Linked DNA regions of Arabidopsis thaliana. The protein of the gene in region 2 interacts with the protein of the main gene of each other region in a biochemical or structural test. Each region holds a gene or a part of one and is shown on either strand. Other genes may lie near its edges.

Region 1 (6,948 bases), on a different chromosome or scaffold from region 2:
TACAGTGTAGTGTGATTCAATGTCTTTGTTTCCATTGCAGCCTGATAAGACTTCAGGAACGATCAAAGAACAACTTTCTGCAATAGCACCTGCGCTTGAACAACTTTGGCAACAGAAAGAGGAAAGGGTCCGGGCATTTTCTGATGTACAATCACAGATTCAGAAGATATGTGAGGAGATCGCTGGCGGATTGAACAATGGACCTCATGTGGTTGATGAGACTGACTTGTCTCTAAAGAGATTAGATGACTTCCAGAGGAAACTCCAAGAGCTCCAGAAAGAGAAGGTAAAATATTAGTTGGGATATGGTTATGTGTGGCCTATGTTCAAACCAGAACTAAAACTGCTTTGTGTTTGAGCAGAGTGATAGGTTACAGAAGGTGCTCGAGTTTGTGAGCACGGTGCATGATCTATGTGCCGTCCTTCGTTTAGATTTCTTAAGCACTGTCACCGAAGTTCATCCGAGCTTAGATGAGGCAAATGGTGTTCAAACCAAGAGCATTAGCAATGAAACACTTGCAAGGTTGGCTAAGACTGTCTTGACTCTTAAAGAAGATAAAATGCAAAGACTTAAGAAGGTTAGTCAAAATCATGGTCTTTGTGATCTCTGACATGAGCTTGGTCAGTTTAGGCTGCACATATGTTGAAATCCTTTCTGATTAATTGCGCTGAAAGTTTGTAACTTTTCTCTGCACCATTCTTGTTTGTGGATTTCATTAATGTATCTTGGTTTTATGCAGCTTCAAGAACTAGCTACTCAGCTAACTGATCTATGGAATCTGATGGATACTTCTGATGAGGAAAGGGAGCTTTTTGACCATGTTACCTCTAACATTTCAGCTTCAGTTCATGAAGTGACTGCCTCTGGTGCTCTCGCACTTGATCTTATCGAACAGGTATCGTAAATTTGTAATGTATCAATCAATGTGTATGATAAGTACTGCTTTTAAAAATCTTCTGTGAACTCTTGAAGGCTGAGGTGGAAGTGGATAGGCTTGATCAACTGAAATCTAGCAGAATGAAGGAAATTGCATTCAAAAAGCAATCAGAGCTTGAGGAGATATATGCTCGTGCTCACATAGAAATAAAACCAGAGGTTGTTCGTGAGAGGATCATGTCGTTGATTGATGCTGGGAATACTGAACCTACTGAGTTACTGGCTGACATGGATAGCCAGATCGCAAAGGCCAAGGAGGAAGCCTTTAGTAGAAAAGAAATTTTAGACCGTGTAGAGAAATGGATGTCAGCTTGTGAGGAAGAGAGCTGGCTCGAAGATTACAATCGAGTATGCTAACATTGGCTATGTTAATAAACACATTACTTATTAAGCATAGAGTTCAATTGATGATTCTTTTGGGTTTTTGTTCTGGAAAAACAGGATCAGAACAGGTATAGTGCAAGCCGAGGTGCGCATTTGAATCTCAAGAGAGCTGAGAAAGCTCGGATTCTGGTCAGCAAGATTACTGGTAAGAACTTCCAAAAGTCTCTCTTAGTTATTACTACACATAGAATTAAACTGAGACTGAAGAATATATCATACTTTGTTTGTGCAAGCTATGGTTGACACGTTGATTGCTAAAACCCGGGCATGGGAAGAGGAGAACAGTATGTCCTTTGAGTACGATGGAGTTCCTTTACTCGCCATGCTAGATGAATACACTATGCTTAGGCAAGAACGAGAAGATGAGAAGCGGAGGCTGAAAGTAAGTTGTTTCATCCTGTGTTAAACCGATTGTTGAAACTAACTTCTTTTAAAATAATCTTGCCTTTTCATTAACAGGAACAGAAGAAGCAGCAAGAACAGCCACACACAGATCAAGAATCCGCCTTTGGGTCTAAACCAAGCCCTGCAAGACCCGTTAGTGCCAAGAAACCGGTGGGAACACGAGTCAATGGAGGAGGGCTCAACGAAACTCCTATGAGGCGTTTGTCTATGAACTCAAACCAGAACGGAAGCAAGTCCAAGAGAGACAGTCTGAACAAGATAGCTTCACCTTCGAACATTGTAGCCAACACAAAAGATGATGCTGCATCTCCAGTCTCTCGTGCTGACCCAGTGATGGCTTCACCGTGACAATATCAAAAGAAAGAGAGTTATAATGCTTACTTACACTTTTGTTAGTTGCTAATAGTGCTGTTTAAGAAACAAACACTTAGAAACAAAGACAATGAGAGTAGAATGTTACTTAGATGTTTCTGTTTCTGTATTCATTCACTCAAATTTGTTTGGTACTTGTTAGCATGACTAATGTGAAGTGACCGGTTTAGTGAATGAAAGTCAAGGTTCTAATTGGAATTACGAAATAATATTTGGGCAAAATTGTAATATACTGAAAGATCTTTTGGGCATGATTTAAAAGTTTAAAAAGTTTCCAAGAAGGTTTGGGATTTTAGAGGTCCTTTCTGCGACGTCGTTTCTAGTTTGCAATCAGAAGCGCGTTAAATACAGGAAAATTTCTTGAGCTGTTTTGTCTTAACAAATCAATCGGAGAAAAAGCTACGGAGCTCGAGAGAAGAGAGAATCTATGTCGAACCCAAACGAACCAGCCAGGGCTCTTCTGCCTTACCTGCAACGTGCCGATGAGCTGCAGAAGCATGAACCACTTGTTGCTTATTACTGTGAGTTTCGTTTTCTTATCTATATCTAACCTAGATGATCGCCTCCTGCGATTGTGTGTATTCATGGAATTTTGTGATTGATTAGGTCGGCTATATGCAATGGAACGAGGATTGAAGATTCCGCAGAGCGAGAGAACTAAGACCACCAATTCGATTCTCATGTCTCTCATTAATCAACTCGAAAAGGTATTACCTTTGAAGTTTTAAATTGTGAGTTTTTCTGATTTATTTCAGCTTGTTTGATTTTTTACTTGTTTAGATTTGAAAGGACCGGTTCTTAGTAATTCTCATGATGTGTTTGACTTTGATTATTATATGTTGTTACTTGTTACAAAGCTGGAGTTTTTTTATTTATGTTTGTGTTTGGTAAGGAGGCTTATATCTAAATTTAGCTTAGGTTTGTTCATGTGATTGACAGAGTTCATGAGGCAATTTCTTGATTAGTTCCAGTTTCTTATGGCGATTTCTTTTTTGTGTAACTCCAGGATAAAAAATCATTGACTCTGTCCCCAGATGACAATATGCATGTGGAGGGGTTTGCACTTAGTGTCTTTGCTAAGGCAGACAAGCAGGATCGTGCAGGAAGAGCAGACTTGTAAGAATTTTTTTTGCTCTTATGTTTGATTATATATAGAATGGCATTTTTTTTGCCCTCAAGTTTCTAATAATTTTAGGGTCACCGTCAACACTAGCTCAATGAGTCGAATTAGCATGATTCTATAGATTCATTGTCTGTCTAGTATTATTGTGTTTGCCAATACTGGAAATAGCGTGCAAGTACACATACATTTACAATGAGTATGCATGTCCGGCAGACATGTTTTTAGGTGATACCTTCCTCTACCATCGTTTAAGATAGCGGGTTAAGTAATTAGTTGGATGCATCCAAGGCTTATCTCGACCTGTTGTCTTCTACCTGTTCTGCTTTTGCGAAATACCTGTATCTCCAGCATTGATGTGTTTCTATGCATGGTTGGATACTGATATTAGTTCGATTACTGTCTGTATCCTTATTTTATAAGTGCTAACACCTGCATTCATTTGACTCAATTACATAGGCTTCCGAGTTGCGATGGATTATCCAAATTAACTTTGTTGTGCTTGTGACAGGGGCACTGCCAAAACTTTTTATGCTGCGAGCATCTTCTTTGAAATTCTGAGCCAGTTTGGTCCCGTACCTCCTGATGTAAGTTCCTACTTCTTTTTTTATTCACTTAACATCACCTTAAGAGGCAGCTGTGTTGGGAGATTGATATGTGTATATATGTAATGGCTCCCATTAACAGATAGAGCAGAAACACAAGTATGCTGCTTGGAAGGCTGCTGACATAAGGAAAGCCATTAAAGAAGGAAGGAAGCCCACTCCAGGTGATCCTGTGGATGATGATACTGATTTATCCATCCCATCAAGCGGTCCTAGTGGCTCCTATGTAAGTTTCTCTTCTTGAATATTTATGGATTGGAAATATCTTGATATTGGCTTAGCGTGTATTCTGTCCAATAATATCGAAAAGTGTTTAGGAGCGTAAATGTTTATAGAATTCGCATAGCGCTGATCAAAATCATCTAGCTAGAGACACACACATTCACACCCACCTGTGTACTTTTAGGTTTTTGTTTTCTCAATTGTCAAAACACTATGATAAAACGTCTGCATCAACTTAATCGATTCATTGTTTGTGCATGTTAATTATCTACAGGATCACAGTGCAAGTGATACCAACACAACAAGTCATCATAGAACAGAGCTTGATCCACCCCATGACTCGAATGATGACTCCAGCCACCATCAATTCCCTGAAGTGCCACAACACCCTCTACCTCCCAGGTTTTATGACAATCCGACCAACGATTATCCCGCAGATGTCCCACCTCCACCACCGTCTTCTTACCCTTCCAACGATCATCTTCCCCCTCCCACAGGACCATCAGACTCCCCTTACCCGCATCCTTACAGTCATCAACCATACCACCAAGACCCGCCAAAACACATGCCGCCACCGCAAAACTACTCATCTCATGAGCCTTCTCCAAATTCTCTCCCTAATTTCCAATCTTATCCTAGCTTTAGTGAGAGCAGCCTCCCATCCACTTCTCCCCACTACCCTTCTCACTACCAAAACCCAGAACCTTACTATTCTTCTCCGCACTCTGCACCTGCTCCTTCTTCCACAAGCTTCTCCTCTGCTCCTCCTCCTCCACCTTACTCATCAAACGGGCGTATCAATATTGCTCCCGTGCTAGATCCTGCACCGAGTTCAGCTCAGAAGTACCATTACGATAGCAGCTACCAGCCAGGGCCTGAGAAGGTTGCAGAGGCACTCAAGGCTGCTAGATTCGCTGTGGGAGCTTTGGCTTTTGATGAAGTCTCGACTGCTGTAGAACATCTCAAGAAGTCACTTGAGTTGCTAACAAATCCATCGGCCGGTGCCGGTCACTGAATTTTATATCTAATCTATGACACTTGGGGTTGATGTTAGTGCGTGTGTGTGTTCTCAACATTTGTGGGTTTGTTTATTAACTTTTCAGGCTCAGACTTCGTTTACAAAGAAAATTTGTGTGAATTATTCTTATTATCATAAAATTTTCCTTGCAACTTCGTGTACATTCATACATACATAGGCAATGGAGTTCCTCTTCAGTCTTCACGTAAAGAGCGAGTGTGGGACACGCACTCATGTAGCGGGTGGTGTTAGTACTCGAGGTTGGGCCTATATAAAAGCCCATAGAGGCCCGAATTACTGAATTTAGCAGACAAGAATAGAAAGAGTGATGAAACATGGAAGAAAACGTGTCTCTAGAGTCATGTCAAGTGTAAGACAGAGGAAGAGAGAAGAGATGTGCGTCAAAGACAAGGAAAGAGAGATGTCAATCGCTGCTTTCGTCGGCGCGTGCATGTCCGCCACGCACATCAATCAAATCGATTCTTATTATTATTACCTCATTATACTCTTTACTCTAAGACAAACACATACATTTGCACTCAGTCTAGAGACAAAGTGAGAGAGAGATGGGGTCAAAGACGGAGATGATGGAGAGAGACGCAATGGCTACGGTGGCTCCCTATGCGCCGGTCACTTACCATCGCCGTGCTCGTGTTGACTTGGATGATAGACTTCCTAAACCTTGTAAAACCTTTCTCTCGCTACTTGCATTTTTTTATCCCTAATTGATTTCAATATATTGCATGCCAAAAAATATTTGATATATGGTTGAATTTAAGAAACCCTTTTAAATATATGGAATTGCCGACCCTCAAAATTTTTAAAACATGCATATAGAATGATGTTCATGATCTTATAGAAGCTATAAATTGTAAAATGATACATATCCTGTATATGATGGTAATTAATAATGTATTACCCATGAACGTGCATGAATAATTCTATACACACATTACACATACGTGGAAATGATACAGATTTTGATCTTATATGTGTTATGCATAGATATGCCAAGAGCATTGCAAGCACCAGACAGAGAACACCCGTACGGAACTCCAGGCCATAAGAATTACGGACTTAGTGTTCTTCAACAGCATGTCTCCTTCTTCGATATCGATGATAATGGCATCATTTACCCTTGGGAGACCTACTCTGGTATGTCTATATAGTATATATAGATATTTCAACTTCAAATTTTTCGTTAGTATTATATGTACAAAAAGTTGATCCCAACCGGTGATTAGGACTGCGAATGCTTGGTTTCAATATCATTGGGTCGCTTATAATAGCCGCTGTTATCAACCTGACCCTTAGCTATGCCACTCTTCCGGTAACACCTCTCCTCCTCTGCTGACATATATCGCAAAACTTTGATTGATTCTACTCTAGACTCGGAAATTATCATATCCAAATCCGTTGTCCATTTTGTTAGTGTTCTACTTGATTATATGCAGGGGTGGTTACCTTCACCTTTCTTCCCTATATACATACACAACATACACAAGTCAAAGCATGGAAGTGATTCAAAAACATATGACAATGAAGGAAGGTGAGTGACCATATTATCTTGAAAAAAACGGTTGACTGATAGAAAATATGATGACTGATGCATATGGTATAACTTCCGTATGCTTTTCAGGTTTATGCCGGTGAATCTTGAGTTGATATTTAGCAAATATGCGAAAACCTTGCCAGACAAGTTGAGTCTTGGAGAACTATGGGAGATGACAGAAGGAAACCGTGACGCTTGGGACATTTTTGGATGGTACAATCACAGCATTAGCCTTCCTTTTTCTTACCCTTTCATTAGTTTATTGAATGCATGTGTTAAACTAAAGTATTAGTCAATGTTGTTGTAGTTATAATGTTTGGATCTACATGTATG
Region 2 (7,257 bases):
ACCGAACGAGTTCACATTCTCTAGCATCCTTAACGTGTGTGCGGCTACTAATGCGTCTATGGGACAGGGAAAGCAATTCCACGGGTTCGCTATAAAATCAAGACTCGATAGTTCTCTGTGTGTTAGTAGTGCTCTTCTAACCATGTATGCAAAGAAAGGCAACATCGAGAGTGCGGAAGAAGTCTTTAAAAGGCAGAGAGAGAAAGATCTAGTATCATGGAATTCGATGATCTCTGGGTATGCACAACACGGGCAAGCTATGAAGGCTCTCGATGTTTTCAAGGAGATGAAGAAGAGAAAGGTGAAAATGGATGGTGTAACATTCATCGGAGTATTTGCTGCTTGTACACATGCGGGGTTAGTAGAAGAAGGCGAAAAATATTTCGATATAATGGTGAGAGACTGCAAGATAGCACCTACAAAGGAGCATAATAGTTGTATGGTGGATCTATACAGCCGAGCTGGGCAACTTGAAAAGGCTATGAAGGTCATAGAAAACATGCCAAATCCGGCTGGTTCCACCATTTGGAGAACAATTCTAGCTGCATGCCGTGTGCACAAGAAAACAGAGCTAGGGAGATTAGCTGCAGAGAAGATCATTGCGATGAAGCCAGAAGATTCAGCGGCATATGTATTATTGTCTAACATGTATGCAGAGTCAGGAGATTGGCAAGAGAGAGCCAAAGTAAGGAAGCTGATGAATGAGAGGAACGTGAAGAAAGAACCTGGTTATAGTTGGATTGAGGTCAAGAACAAGACTTACTCGTTCTTGGCGGGTGATCGGTCTCATCCTCTCAAAGATCAAATCTATATGAAGCTAGAAGATTTAAGTACACGGCTGAAGGATTTAGGGTATGAGCCAGATACAAGTTATGTGCTTCAAGATATTGATGATGAGCATAAAGAAGCAGTTCTTGCTCAGCATAGTGAGAGATTAGCTATTGCTTTCGGGTTGATAGCTACACCAAAGGGAAGCCCTCTTTTGATCATTAAGAACCTTAGGGTTTGTGGAGATTGTCATTTAGTGATCAAATTAATTGCAAAGATTGAAGAAAGAGAGATCGTAGTTAGAGATTCAAATCGGTTTCATCACTTTAGCAGTGATGGAGTTTGCTCATGTGGAGACTTTTGGTGACATAATAAATAGAAAACATTGTTCAGAACATTTTTTTTTTACACAATTCGAGAAATAAAGCAAATTCAATGTTTTGGGAAGAAATCAAACATGGGTTTGAGATTTTGTTTTGCTTCTCAGTACATACATAAGGAGATGGTGAAGAGACTAATAATAATATGATTGTGAAAGATGCTTGATGGGAATGTCAAATCTATCAACCTTCTTCTCCAAACTCCTGTGTGAATCTCTCGTGGACATCAAGGTCAGACTTGCTCACTGTTGGCCTTTGTCTTGCAAGTACCTTCTCGAAATCTGTTCTGGTGATTGGTGGTGGAATAATCTGTTGCAATTTATTCACATGAAATACACAATTCAGTCTTTAGAAATCGTCATATGTAAGGATTGAAAGGATTTAGAAATCAGAGAAGCTTGAAATACAAAACCTAAATGATATATTCAAAGTTTAGATGCGTACCTTTTCGGCAAGCCCTTTTGTTGCTAGATCTTGCATTGTAGTCTGGATGGCACCAGGGTGCCTAGGCCCACATGGCATCCATGTACCATCAGGAGACTTGAAAAAGAACATTGCATCTTGTGTTTTACGAACAGGTTCAAACAGAACATCTTTTACCTGCAAGAGCCAAAAAGATTCTCAAGACAAAGGCTTATCTATCTATAGCAACATAGGGGGAAATTAAGGACAATAAGAAATAACTCAGGCCAAGTTACGTACACAAACAGACACATCTGAACCAGAAAACCCTTCTGTCTTTTGGCCTAAATATTCAAAATCAGGTTCAGTTAAATTATGAGGTGTATCTCCCAAGTGGACCTGCATTTACAAAACAGATCTCATTAGTAAACTGGTTCTGTCTCCCTTGAATGATTTTTACTTGAGAAACTTGAAGCAAATGAATAATACTTTGAACATGTGCTGCCGAGCCTTGGCCTCTGGGAGAGGAATATAGATACGCTTGTCAAAACGTCGCCGGATAGCCTGAAATTAACATGGAGTTAACAAAACAATATTTAACTGGCAAAGAAAATAGAGAACCAAGCCGTCTTATGACTTTCACCTGATCAAGAGCATAGGGTGTATTGGTTGCTGCAAGTACAAGTACTTTCTCATCATTGTGTCCAACACCCTAAAAGAAAAAGAGATAAGTCAGAGACGGAAATTTCAGCTACAACTAAAAGACATGGAGTTTAGTTCGGATAAGCTATGCACCTGCATCTGCACTAGAAGCTCTGTTTTGATACGTCTTGAAGCTTCACTCTCGTTTCCTTCTCCACGTGTACCACACAAAGAATCTATCTCATCAACAAAAATAATCGAGGGAGCACTTTCACGGGCCATCTCGAAAAGGTTTGATACTAGCTTCTCACTTTCACCCATCCACTTCGAGACAAGGTCTGATGAAGACACGCTGAAGGTTGGGAAGTAAAAAGGAAACAACTTTTCTTAAGCTATAACATGTTTCCAAGTATAAACACTGTAAAAACAAACTGACATAGAAAAACAACCAACATAAAGTACATAGCCATACCTAATTAAAAACCCAAGTACCTCGTGCAAACAACATTGAAATTAGAAATTCTGGCACCCTTAAACCAAAGGATCAGCATTCTTGCCTAATTAAATCGATCCGCCTTGGTTCTCTAATATGCTATTTAGATTCTACCAGGCCTTTAAAATCGGGTTGCAGCTGCTTATGTATAACATGTACAGATAGCAGAGACTCATACATCTATTCTAGCATAGAGCAGAATTTGCATATAAACTATAAAGGAACATCAAACCTTTCCTTAATATTTCTATCCGAACTTGTAGTACACCGTTAGAATTCAAACACAAACAAAACCAAAGACCACCCTCCTTAAACTAATCCCAAACTACTTCAATACGCTTATCATCCATAGCAACTATTCAAATCCATAAGTATTTGACTATGGTCTCAAGCTATAATGAAAGAGTTAAGACACTACACCATCCTCTTCCTATATACTTTCAGAAATTCAAACACTTTTAAACATACGTTACCTAAAAAAGGTAGAGTCAGCTTCAGTGGCAACAGCCTTAGCCAAATACGATTTTCCTGTTCCAGGAGGCCCATACAACAGAAAAGCTCTCCAAGGCCGTCTCTTTCCTAAGAAGTAACAAAACAACAGATAAAGCTCACAACTTTACAAAGAGAACGGTTTCAAAACTTCAATGAATAGCTCCAGATTACACAAATTTACCAGTGAAGAACTGTGGAAACTTGACAGGCAAAATCACAGCTTCCTGCAGAGCTTGTTTAGCACTTTCAAGCCCAGCAACATCTGACCACTTGATATTAGGTTTCTCTCTAACAATCGCAGAGTTTAACCCAGCTCGAAGCTTTGATTGTTCAGGATCTTCTCCATCTTTACCACCACCTTCTCCATCTTTAGGCTTAGTTTTGGGCCTCGTTGCGACGGCTGCATCACCGTTAGATCCTGGACCCGATCCACCTTCATCGAGAACAGCACGGATCTCCTCAGCACGACGGAGATACTCGGTGAATTTCTGGGTAATAGCTTCTCTGATCTTAGGGTTCTTCTCATACTTGAGATGAGTTTTGAAGTACTCAAGCGCGTTCATGTATAGAGGGAAAGCTTTATTGTAATTCCCAGCATTGTCTTCATGAACCGCTTGCTTCACGTACTCGATCGCTTGTTCCTTGAAATTGCTGTACATAATTTAGGGTTTTACAAGAGAAATTGAAATTCTCTCGATTTGAAATTGTGATTCCGAATTGATTGAATCGGTGATGATCAAGGGTTAAAGGAGCCTTGAAATTGTGATAGGAAGATTCCGAATTGGAGACGAAGATCGGAGGAAGGAGATGGAGAAGAGAGAAGAAGGAATGGATTATGCAAAGCGATGAAGAAAAAAGCTAGATTTGACGACGAAGACGAAAAGGTCTTGAAAACAGCGGAGCGTAGGTTGGTAGAAGAATGAAACGGTGAGGCGTTTTTGGAAGTTGTGAAGAATTGGCTCAATGTTTTGATGAATGATAACGAAAACGCTTGCCGTTTTTTAATATATGCTTATTTTTTCCAATAATTTTGTATTAAATGGTTTGAAAAAGAAAACAAATTGTATTAAAAAGCAGAAGAAAAACAAAAAAATCCACGTAGAGAGATACATCAAAATCCCACCATTCAAATATATTAAGTACAAGGTCCTTCTAATAGGAGGCAAATTTGAAAAAAAATTCAAATAGTGACAATATAAAGCATGACCATGATAAGTTTTCTTGTTATCAACCTTAAGAAAACAAACTAGAAATATTATTTCAAAAACAAACCTTAACATCAACACAAATTAGTAAATCTACTTTGAATGCAATTGTAGCAAAAAATAGTGACCAAAATTAAACTTGCAACAAAGAACATTTAAGTTGCAGAAAGGACATTCCTTTTATTCATTCAAAACATTTGGAGTCACTTGTGCACATTGCAAACGCAAAGACCGGAGTTTCAGCAGCGAATCGTAATTGTCAACCAAAGCGAACAGGTTCTATTGATACCCAACTAGCAAGATTATTGATTATGTCTCAATGATAAAACGAACGAATGAATTTTTCACTAGTTGACAATGCATTAAAGAAAAAAGGAAATTTTCAAGTTCAAAGAATATGTTCATTAGTGTGGAAGCGATTAGGCAATACAAAAATGGTAATATATTATTGTCTTAAACACAAGATAATCAATAGTTATTGGCAAGAAACACATATCTTCAAGTAAGAAATACATTATCCATCATAAACTTATAATAAGAGGAGATCATTGCAAGATCTATTGAGATTTTCAAAGTACTATTTGTTACCTATGCGTCTAGTCATCTCCAACGAAACACCAAAACACTATTTTAGGTGATAATTAACCAAGTTTTTCTAAACCATAGTAAAAAAAAAAAAAAAAAAAACCCCACATGATAAATACCATCCGAACCACTAAAAACCGGTATTTGACCCAAAAAAAACACTAAACCGAGAGCAATAGGGCCTACGTGGCATAGTTTAGGGCACTCTTCAGTCTAAAGACACACTAAACACAAAGTCAACGCTTTTCTCTTCTTCCTCGACTGCTCTGCTCTGCTCTATTCTCTGGATTGAGAATTTGGACTGAGAACGACGACAAATGGGGAAACGAGAGAAAAAACCTAATCGACGTCGCCACAAAGGTGAATATTCGAATGATGCTGAAGATTTCTACGATCAACACCCGCCGGCTGTTGCCTCCGTCGACGAAGAAGATGAAGAAAACTCTGACGAAGAAGAAGAAGAAAATGATGGAAACGAATCATCGGATTTGCCTTCAAAGTTTCTCCTTTACCAACAATCCGTTCAGGTAACTGCAATTCTGTGCTTGGCCTTCTAAGTTTCATTGAGTGGTTCTTACTGGTTTTATGAAATCAGTTAAAAGTACTTAAATTTTCTTAGGGAGAGAGTTCTCTGTATCTCTTGTATAAAGAAGCACTAAGATTTAACAAATTGTATTGTTTGTGTTTCACTGTTCTTGTTCTATCATCAAGCACTAAGCTTTAACATTTGTTGTTCTTGTCTTTTCATTGCTTTTTGTTTGTTGCAGTCACCAAAAGGAGACATAAGTTACTTGCAGAAGTTCTTTTTAATGTATGTTGGTGGAAGACAACCTTTCCATTTCCAAGAAGATTTCTGCGGCACTGCTCTTTTAAGGTTGTTGTGTGTTTCACTAAATGGTACAAAATAATGTAGCTTTTGGTTTTCTTGCTTGAATAAGTTTTTACATTGATTGTTGGAATAGTGCGGAGTGGCTGAAGACTGACACTAGACGGACTGCTATAGGGCTTGATTTTGATCTTGAGGCGTTAGAATGGTGTATGGATAACAACATTAGTAAACTTGGTTCTGACGTGTATTCAAGAATGTCGCTTTTCCATGGGAATGTTTTAACTCCTCTTGAGGCTAAGCAAGTGAAATCTAAATCCCATGAGCTGATACAAAATATCAGCTTGGATGATGGTGATGATAATGAAGATTTGGCTGATCCGAGTGTTGTCGAATCTTTAGAGAAAGATGGACCTGATTCGTTGCCAAAGAGGGATATTGTGTGTGCTTTTAATTTTAGTTGTTGTTGTCTCCACAAACGCTCGGAGTTGGTTTCTTACTTCAAGAATGCACGTGACGCTTTGTCTAAGAAAGGTGGTATCTTCGTGATGGATTTATATGGAGGTGCTTCTGCTGAGGGACAGTTGAAGCTTCAACGGAAATTCCCTAATTTCACGGTAATAGTTCATTCTTGTACTTCATTCGGTAAAAAAGGGTGTCAGAGCCATAAATATCGAACTTACTAGAGATAACCGTACTAACGATTGTCCATATTCATTTGGCAGTATACATGGGAGCAGGCTGAGTTTGATATTTTAAGCCGCAAGACAAGGATCAGTCTGCACTATCACCTTCAGAAGCAGAACAGAAAGATTCGCCATGCTTTTTCATATAGCTGGAGACTGTAAGTGTCCTGTAGTCTACTTCCACATCCATTCTTTCTTCAAAGTGGGACAGTCATTACCCACAATCTCCCACAAGCCTTAAGAAAATATTACAGTTACAAAAAAACGAAGCATATTTGGTACTTAGGGGTTTGCTTAGCATTTTAGATAACTTGATAAGTGTAGGCTTTTGGTAATTTTGGTTGGCTGGGTGAGGTAGAGATTCTGTAGTGCAGCCACTATGGATCAAAACTTACACAAACATGTGCTCGAATGTTACTGATATCTAAATTCATATGTTAGTGACTTATCCTTGTGTTGGCTGGTAAGTAGCAGTGAAATGATATTGAATGTTATATTCGGGCAAGACAATATTCCTGCTTTCCTTATTGTCTGTAGATTTATTGTACTTGCACTCTTGAATCATTAAGTTCCTGAGAAGTAACTCCTGGATCTGCTGTTCATATATGTGTAGGTGGTCATTGCCGGAGATAAAGGATTGTATGGAGGAAGCTGGGTTTAGCTCAGTCCATTTCTGGCTCAGAGAAATGCCGGACGCTTCTGAAATGCGTAGAACAGATGGGTTTGGTGCTGGACGTGATATCAAGTACGAACAAGTCAAGAGCTTTCAACAGTGTGA
Region 3 (4,580 bases), on a different chromosome or scaffold from region 2:
TACTAACAGATGAAGCTTTTAGCTATATAGGAGAATATGGGAAATTGATCCGTACGCTATCTGTAGCGTTTGCTGGGAACAGTGACAAGGCTCTGAGATACGTTCTTGAGGGTTGTCCTAAACTACAAAAGCTTGAGATCAGGGACAGTCCCTTTGGAGATGTTGGATTGCGCTCTGGTATGCATCGGTATTCCAATATGAGGTTTGTTTGGTTGTCGTCATGTCTCATATCCCGTGGAGGCTGCAGGGGTGTTTCTCATGCTCTGCCTAATGTAGTCGTGGAAGTATTTGGAGCCGATGGTGATGATGACGAAGACACTGTCACTGGGGATTATGTTGAGACATTGTACTTGTATCGATCCCTTGATGGCCCAAGGAAGGATGCTCCAAAGTTTGTAACAATTTTATGAGAAAAACTTTGGTGCAAATGAGGCCATGATTGGGGAAAAGCAAAACTAGCAAGCAGAAGATAATGTGTTTGTAAACTGTAAGTGCTTCAGGTACACTGCATGATTTGTTTTGCCATTTTCACTCTTCTTTGGATTCGTTATATACACCAAGAAGAGTATTATAGCTCAAAGGAAGACAATGTATGAAAATGAACGAAAGAATCGTCTATTATTGTTTGTGTTGTAATAATTGTTTTTTCGCAAACATTGCCAGATTTATTTACAGTCATTGCACGATTATTATCCAAAGAATTATTCGTTATACATAACATTTTAAGCTTATCTATTTTGTTGGCTTACTAGTATTTTCTTCACCATTCTTGTCTTCCTCCATCACCAGATGCTCTAAGGTATCGATAAATGCGGTAACTTTCTCCAAGCTTTTCTCATCAAGCCTTGGGACAGTATGGCCTTTGGGATGATGGACAACCACCGGATTCTTGTACGATTCTATCAGCTGAGTTCCGTAAGGTTTCAGAAAATCAGTCTCTCCTGCAACAAACAAGCCATTTATCAGATTCTCGATCATCAATGAACAAGGTTTTGAAGAATTTTCAAATCAGCTTTTGCAGAATGTACCTAAAAAGTGGAGGGAGAGAGTTTCCAAGGAAGACGAATATGCATTCTCGGCCAATTTGGCGGATTTGAGCTTAGCTCCTCCAATGATTATAACAAACTTAATCTTTGGTACTTTCTGAAATGCAATTCCCTGCAAAAGTTGTAAATGAATCAGAAACAGAATTTGTAAATAAATATGATCATGAATACTATAGTGTCATTAGTATTGACGTACCTTAGCTTGCAGTCCTGGTAAACCCCCAGACAAAATTGCACCCTGCAAAATCAAATTTAGAGTTTTCAAAGAGAGTACACAAATCAGACTCTGTTGATGCAATTTCAAATGTAGATAACTTACCTGGGAAAACCCAATGAGACCATCGAAAGGACCAAGCTTGATCATACGATCCTCCAGGTACTCCAAACATTTCTCGAAATTCGTATACTCGGTGAATTCCTGAATCCAAATTACAACGTTAGTACACATACGAATCAAAAGAATAAAGAGAAGAAAGTGAAGAAAAACAAAGGACCTTGTTGAATTGAAACCACTCGTAATAAGGAGGATCAAAGATGCCTTCGACATCAGATTTGCCTTGACAAGGAAAAGGTGCATCGAGAAACACGAGATCGAGTCTATCAATTACAGATTTAGGCCATTTATGAAGCTGTATCTTCATTATCTCTCCGCTCGTACGAAATCCATGGAGACACAAAAACCTTGGCTTCCTCGCAATCGATCTTCCTTCGCTTCCCATTCTTCACAATTTGTTATCTGTTGTCTTCCCTCTTGCTTCGCCTTTTTATAACGCTCTGTTGCTGCAAATCTCTTCCTTCTTCCAGGAACCATCGTGGTTCACATTTGATCGTATAAATTTATCGCACATGGGAAATACCAAAAAAGGGCCGATAGATTAAGTGAAATTCAGGTTTTCTTCCTTTTCTTATTGGGCCAAACTGATTGGTTGGCAATTTTTGGTCAAAGATCAACGGCAACGAAATAATCAGAGTTTCCATTGGACGGTGGAGATCAAATAAACATCTCACGGAAATTTGGAATCTAAACCGCGTGGGAAACGACATCGTGTGCCCGTAAGTTAGGCGTTGGTCCAATTAAAATCGACCCTATACTAAACCGGTTTTGTATAGAGATCATAAAGTCGCAATTCGGTTTTTGAAAATCGATTTTGAGATCAACAGATTCGAGAGATGAGGAGAGGAGGCAAGGAAGAAGACGAAGTTGAACAGTTGCTTCAAGCAGCTCAAGATGAGATGATACTAAAGCTCTCTGTTGATTCTCACACTTCTCGATCTTCTTCCGATTACTTAGATCCAGATCTTCACTCTAGATTTCTCGCTCTCAAATCTCAAAAGAAGAAGGATCAGCAGCAACAACAGAAACAACGGCCGAGAATGCAGCCGAAATCAAAGGATGTGGTTGAAGAAACACCAGAAGATCTCATGCTTAGATTCGCGGCTCTGAAAACTTCTCTCCCCTCCGCGTCTTCTTCGTCCTCTGTTCTTCTTCAGGATGAAATCGGAGAAGATGGTGATGAAATCGGAGAAGATGCTGAAGTGGATAAGCTGATCCAATGGGCTATAGACGCAGCCCGTCTCGATCCGTCTCCGTCTTCTGACGATGAGCAAAGCCAGAATTGCGATAGCGATGATGAGAATGATTCAACTAGAGATGTTAAACCTTAATTTTAACAATTTGGCTTCTCTTGTAAGGTATATATACATCCCTTTTTGTGCTTGTTAAAGATTGTCGCTAGAATGAGTGAAAGTTTGGAATTTGCAATGAGATTGTTAATTTTTCGAATGTTGCATTTCGTAGATATATGAGATAAAAGTGTTGTCATTGTTACGATCATGGAAAATGGAATTTGATAACAATCCAAATCATTTGTTGTCACGGGTTCGTTGATATGAACTAGAGAACTAGATTCAAACATTCATGATAAATAGGTTACACTAGAGGAATTAGTACGGTGGGAGCTTCCTAATGAACTCTAAAACAGCTTTGGCAGTGTTAGTGGCAGCCAAAGATCCAAACTTATGAACAGTGTTATCTCCTCCTTCTCCAGCTAAATCTGATAAACCCCTTATCACAATTATCGGATACCCATTTGATGCGCATGTCTGGTCAAATCCACAACACAAACATATCACTTAACGATCAAAATTATGTAAAAATTAATGGATTCAAAATTACCATGGCTACTGCAGAACTCTCCATATCAGAGGAGGAGACTCCAAAAGTATCGTATAAGAAATTTCTATAGGCTGCATTATCCACAAATATGTAAGCAGTGGCTGCTTTCAATCCAACTACCAATTTTGGTTTCTTTGGAAGACACAAACTTGCATTTACACACTGCGATAGCTCCATCTTCTGCCACCGTATACCACACGAAAAACCGTTGTTAACAATGGAACCGTTATTGTTTATAATCTATAATCTAATCAGTATGTTGTATAGCTCTTAACAACCTCTAGATCAGCTGCAAGATGAAGCCACTCTTGAGTTGTGTTGATCCAAAACACATTCTGAGGTGCATTGATGTGACCAGTGACTGAATATAGTTGCTCGTAATTATATCCAATACTCCCTAACTCATTGTCGCCATCTCCTTTTGGAACATTATAGTTTCCGACATCTAAGTACGCTATATCCTCAACTCCCTTTACTTTGTCTGGATTCTGTTTTACTCAGAACCAAAAGCATGGATCAGACAATATGAAGAAGAAGAAGCAATCAAACTTGTGTAACTATTATACTTACCAGCCAATCCCACAAGCCAGCATTCGTAATTTGCTTAGGGATGCTCACATCTCCTATGGACATTGAGTTGTTCATATTTCCAGCAATCCCAAAATGCACTATCCCTTTCACATTGAACACATCTATCATCTGTTGTGTTGCTGCTGCTCCATTCACCTGCAATTCTTTTGTCTTAATATAAGTGTTCGTTTGCTACTTTTCATATGGATTACATTTACTAATATGCATCTTTAATATACTATACTACTTACTAACTATATTAAAACTTAATATAAGTTTTATCATCAATTCATCATTTCAATTATTGTATACGGATCAGGATATTTTGGTGTGTGCCCATTCCCTTTTTGTATACTACTTTTAGATAAGAAATAAGAGCCATATAAACTTCTTTATTTTGTTGTAGTTTTTTTTGTTCTGTTTTGGATAATTTAATGTTGTGGTTACTCACCATTCCTCTCCCACATCTAACATACACAACCTTCTTTCCATGAATCTTCCCTATTCGAAAACGTCTCCCTGTATACATAAGGTTATTAAATCAGAAACTACTAATATTTTCATCTCAAAAGTACTAACTTCCATTTAAGCAAAACAAAAGACTCTATTTACGTTAGAAAACTTGAAAAAGTTATTTGATTCAAGTGGATACCAGAGAGATCCAAGAAGGGATGAGTAGGGTCAGGTCTGAAATCGACACTGCGGAGAAAAGCATTTTCTTCGGTCGCAATGACCGTCACGAGACCGATGTAAGGTCCTCCGCGGTTGAGTTTTCTGATGGTAGTGGC

The links. The genes of interacting proteins can lie anywhere in the genome.
Region 1: the proteins of SKD1 (region 2) and EXT-like form a complex in vitro, tested with the Arabidopsis thaliana proteins (one study listed by BioGRID).
Region 3: the proteins of SKD1 (region 2) and AT4G24370 form a complex in vitro, tested with the Arabidopsis thaliana proteins (one study listed by BioGRID).

What each region holds. Positions count from the first base shown.
Region 1 is NC_003075.7:13,473,960-13,480,907, reverse strand, and holds EXT-like (hydroxyproline-rich glycoprotein family protein), read left to right. Parts: upstream 1-2,384; 5' UTR 2,385-2,525; coding exon 2,526-2,619; intron 2,620-2,704; coding exon 2,705-2,805; intron 2,806-3,104; coding exon 3,105-3,214; intron 3,215-3,729; coding exon 3,730-3,805; intron 3,806-3,905; coding exon 3,906-4,049; intron 4,050-4,319; coding exon 4,320-5,060; 3' UTR 5,061-5,291; downstream 5,292-6,948. Other genes in the region: MAP65-2 (microtubule-associated protein 65-2), read left to right, coding at 41-286, 363-578, 741-896, 974-1,285, 1,379-1,466, 1,555-1,703, 1,781-2,074; ATS1 (peroxygenase 1), read left to right, coding at 5,630-5,747, 6,069-6,218, 6,308-6,393, 6,518-6,612, 6,703-6,828. UniProt on the Arabidopsis thaliana protein: Involved in the endosomal multivesicular bodies (MVB) pathway.
Region 2 is NC_003071.7:11,777,805-11,785,061, reverse strand, and holds SKD1 (AAA-type ATPase family protein), read right to left. Parts: upstream 4,167-7,257; 5' UTR 3,837-4,166; coding exon 3,359-3,836; intron 3,265-3,358; coding exon 3,159-3,264; intron 2,545-3,158; coding exon 2,346-2,544; intron 2,263-2,345; coding exon 2,194-2,262; intron 2,115-2,193; coding exon 2,040-2,114; intron 1,950-2,039; coding exon 1,851-1,949; intron 1,749-1,850; coding exon 1,593-1,748; intron 1,458-1,592; coding exon 1,332-1,457; 3' UTR 1,136-1,331; downstream 1-1,135. Other genes in the region: AT2G27610 (Tetratricopeptide repeat (TPR)-like superfamily protein), read left to right, coding at 1-1,135; AT2G27590 (S-adenosyl-L-methionine-dependent methyltransferases superfamily protein), read left to right, coding at 5,285-5,494, 5,735-5,841, 5,930-6,410, 6,519-6,637, 7,093-7,257. UniProt on the Arabidopsis thaliana protein: Involved in the transport of biosynthetic membrane proteins from the prevacuolar/endosomal compartment to the vacuole. Required for multivesicular body (MVB) protein sorting.
Region 3 is NC_003075.7:12,609,739-12,614,318, reverse strand, and holds AT4G24370 (uncharacterized protein), read left to right. Parts: upstream 1-2,187; 5' UTR 2,188-2,216; coding exon 2,217-2,711; 3' UTR 2,712-2,923; downstream 2,924-4,580. Other genes in the region: AFB4 (RNI-like superfamily protein), read left to right, coding at 1-410; AT4G24380 (dihydrofolate reductase), read right to left, coding at 733-941, 1,029-1,158, 1,243-1,464, 1,541-1,765; AT4G24350 (Phosphorylase superfamily protein), read right to left, coding at 2,991-3,149, 3,223-3,402, 3,501-3,710, 3,793-3,948, 4,244-4,311, 4,445-4,580.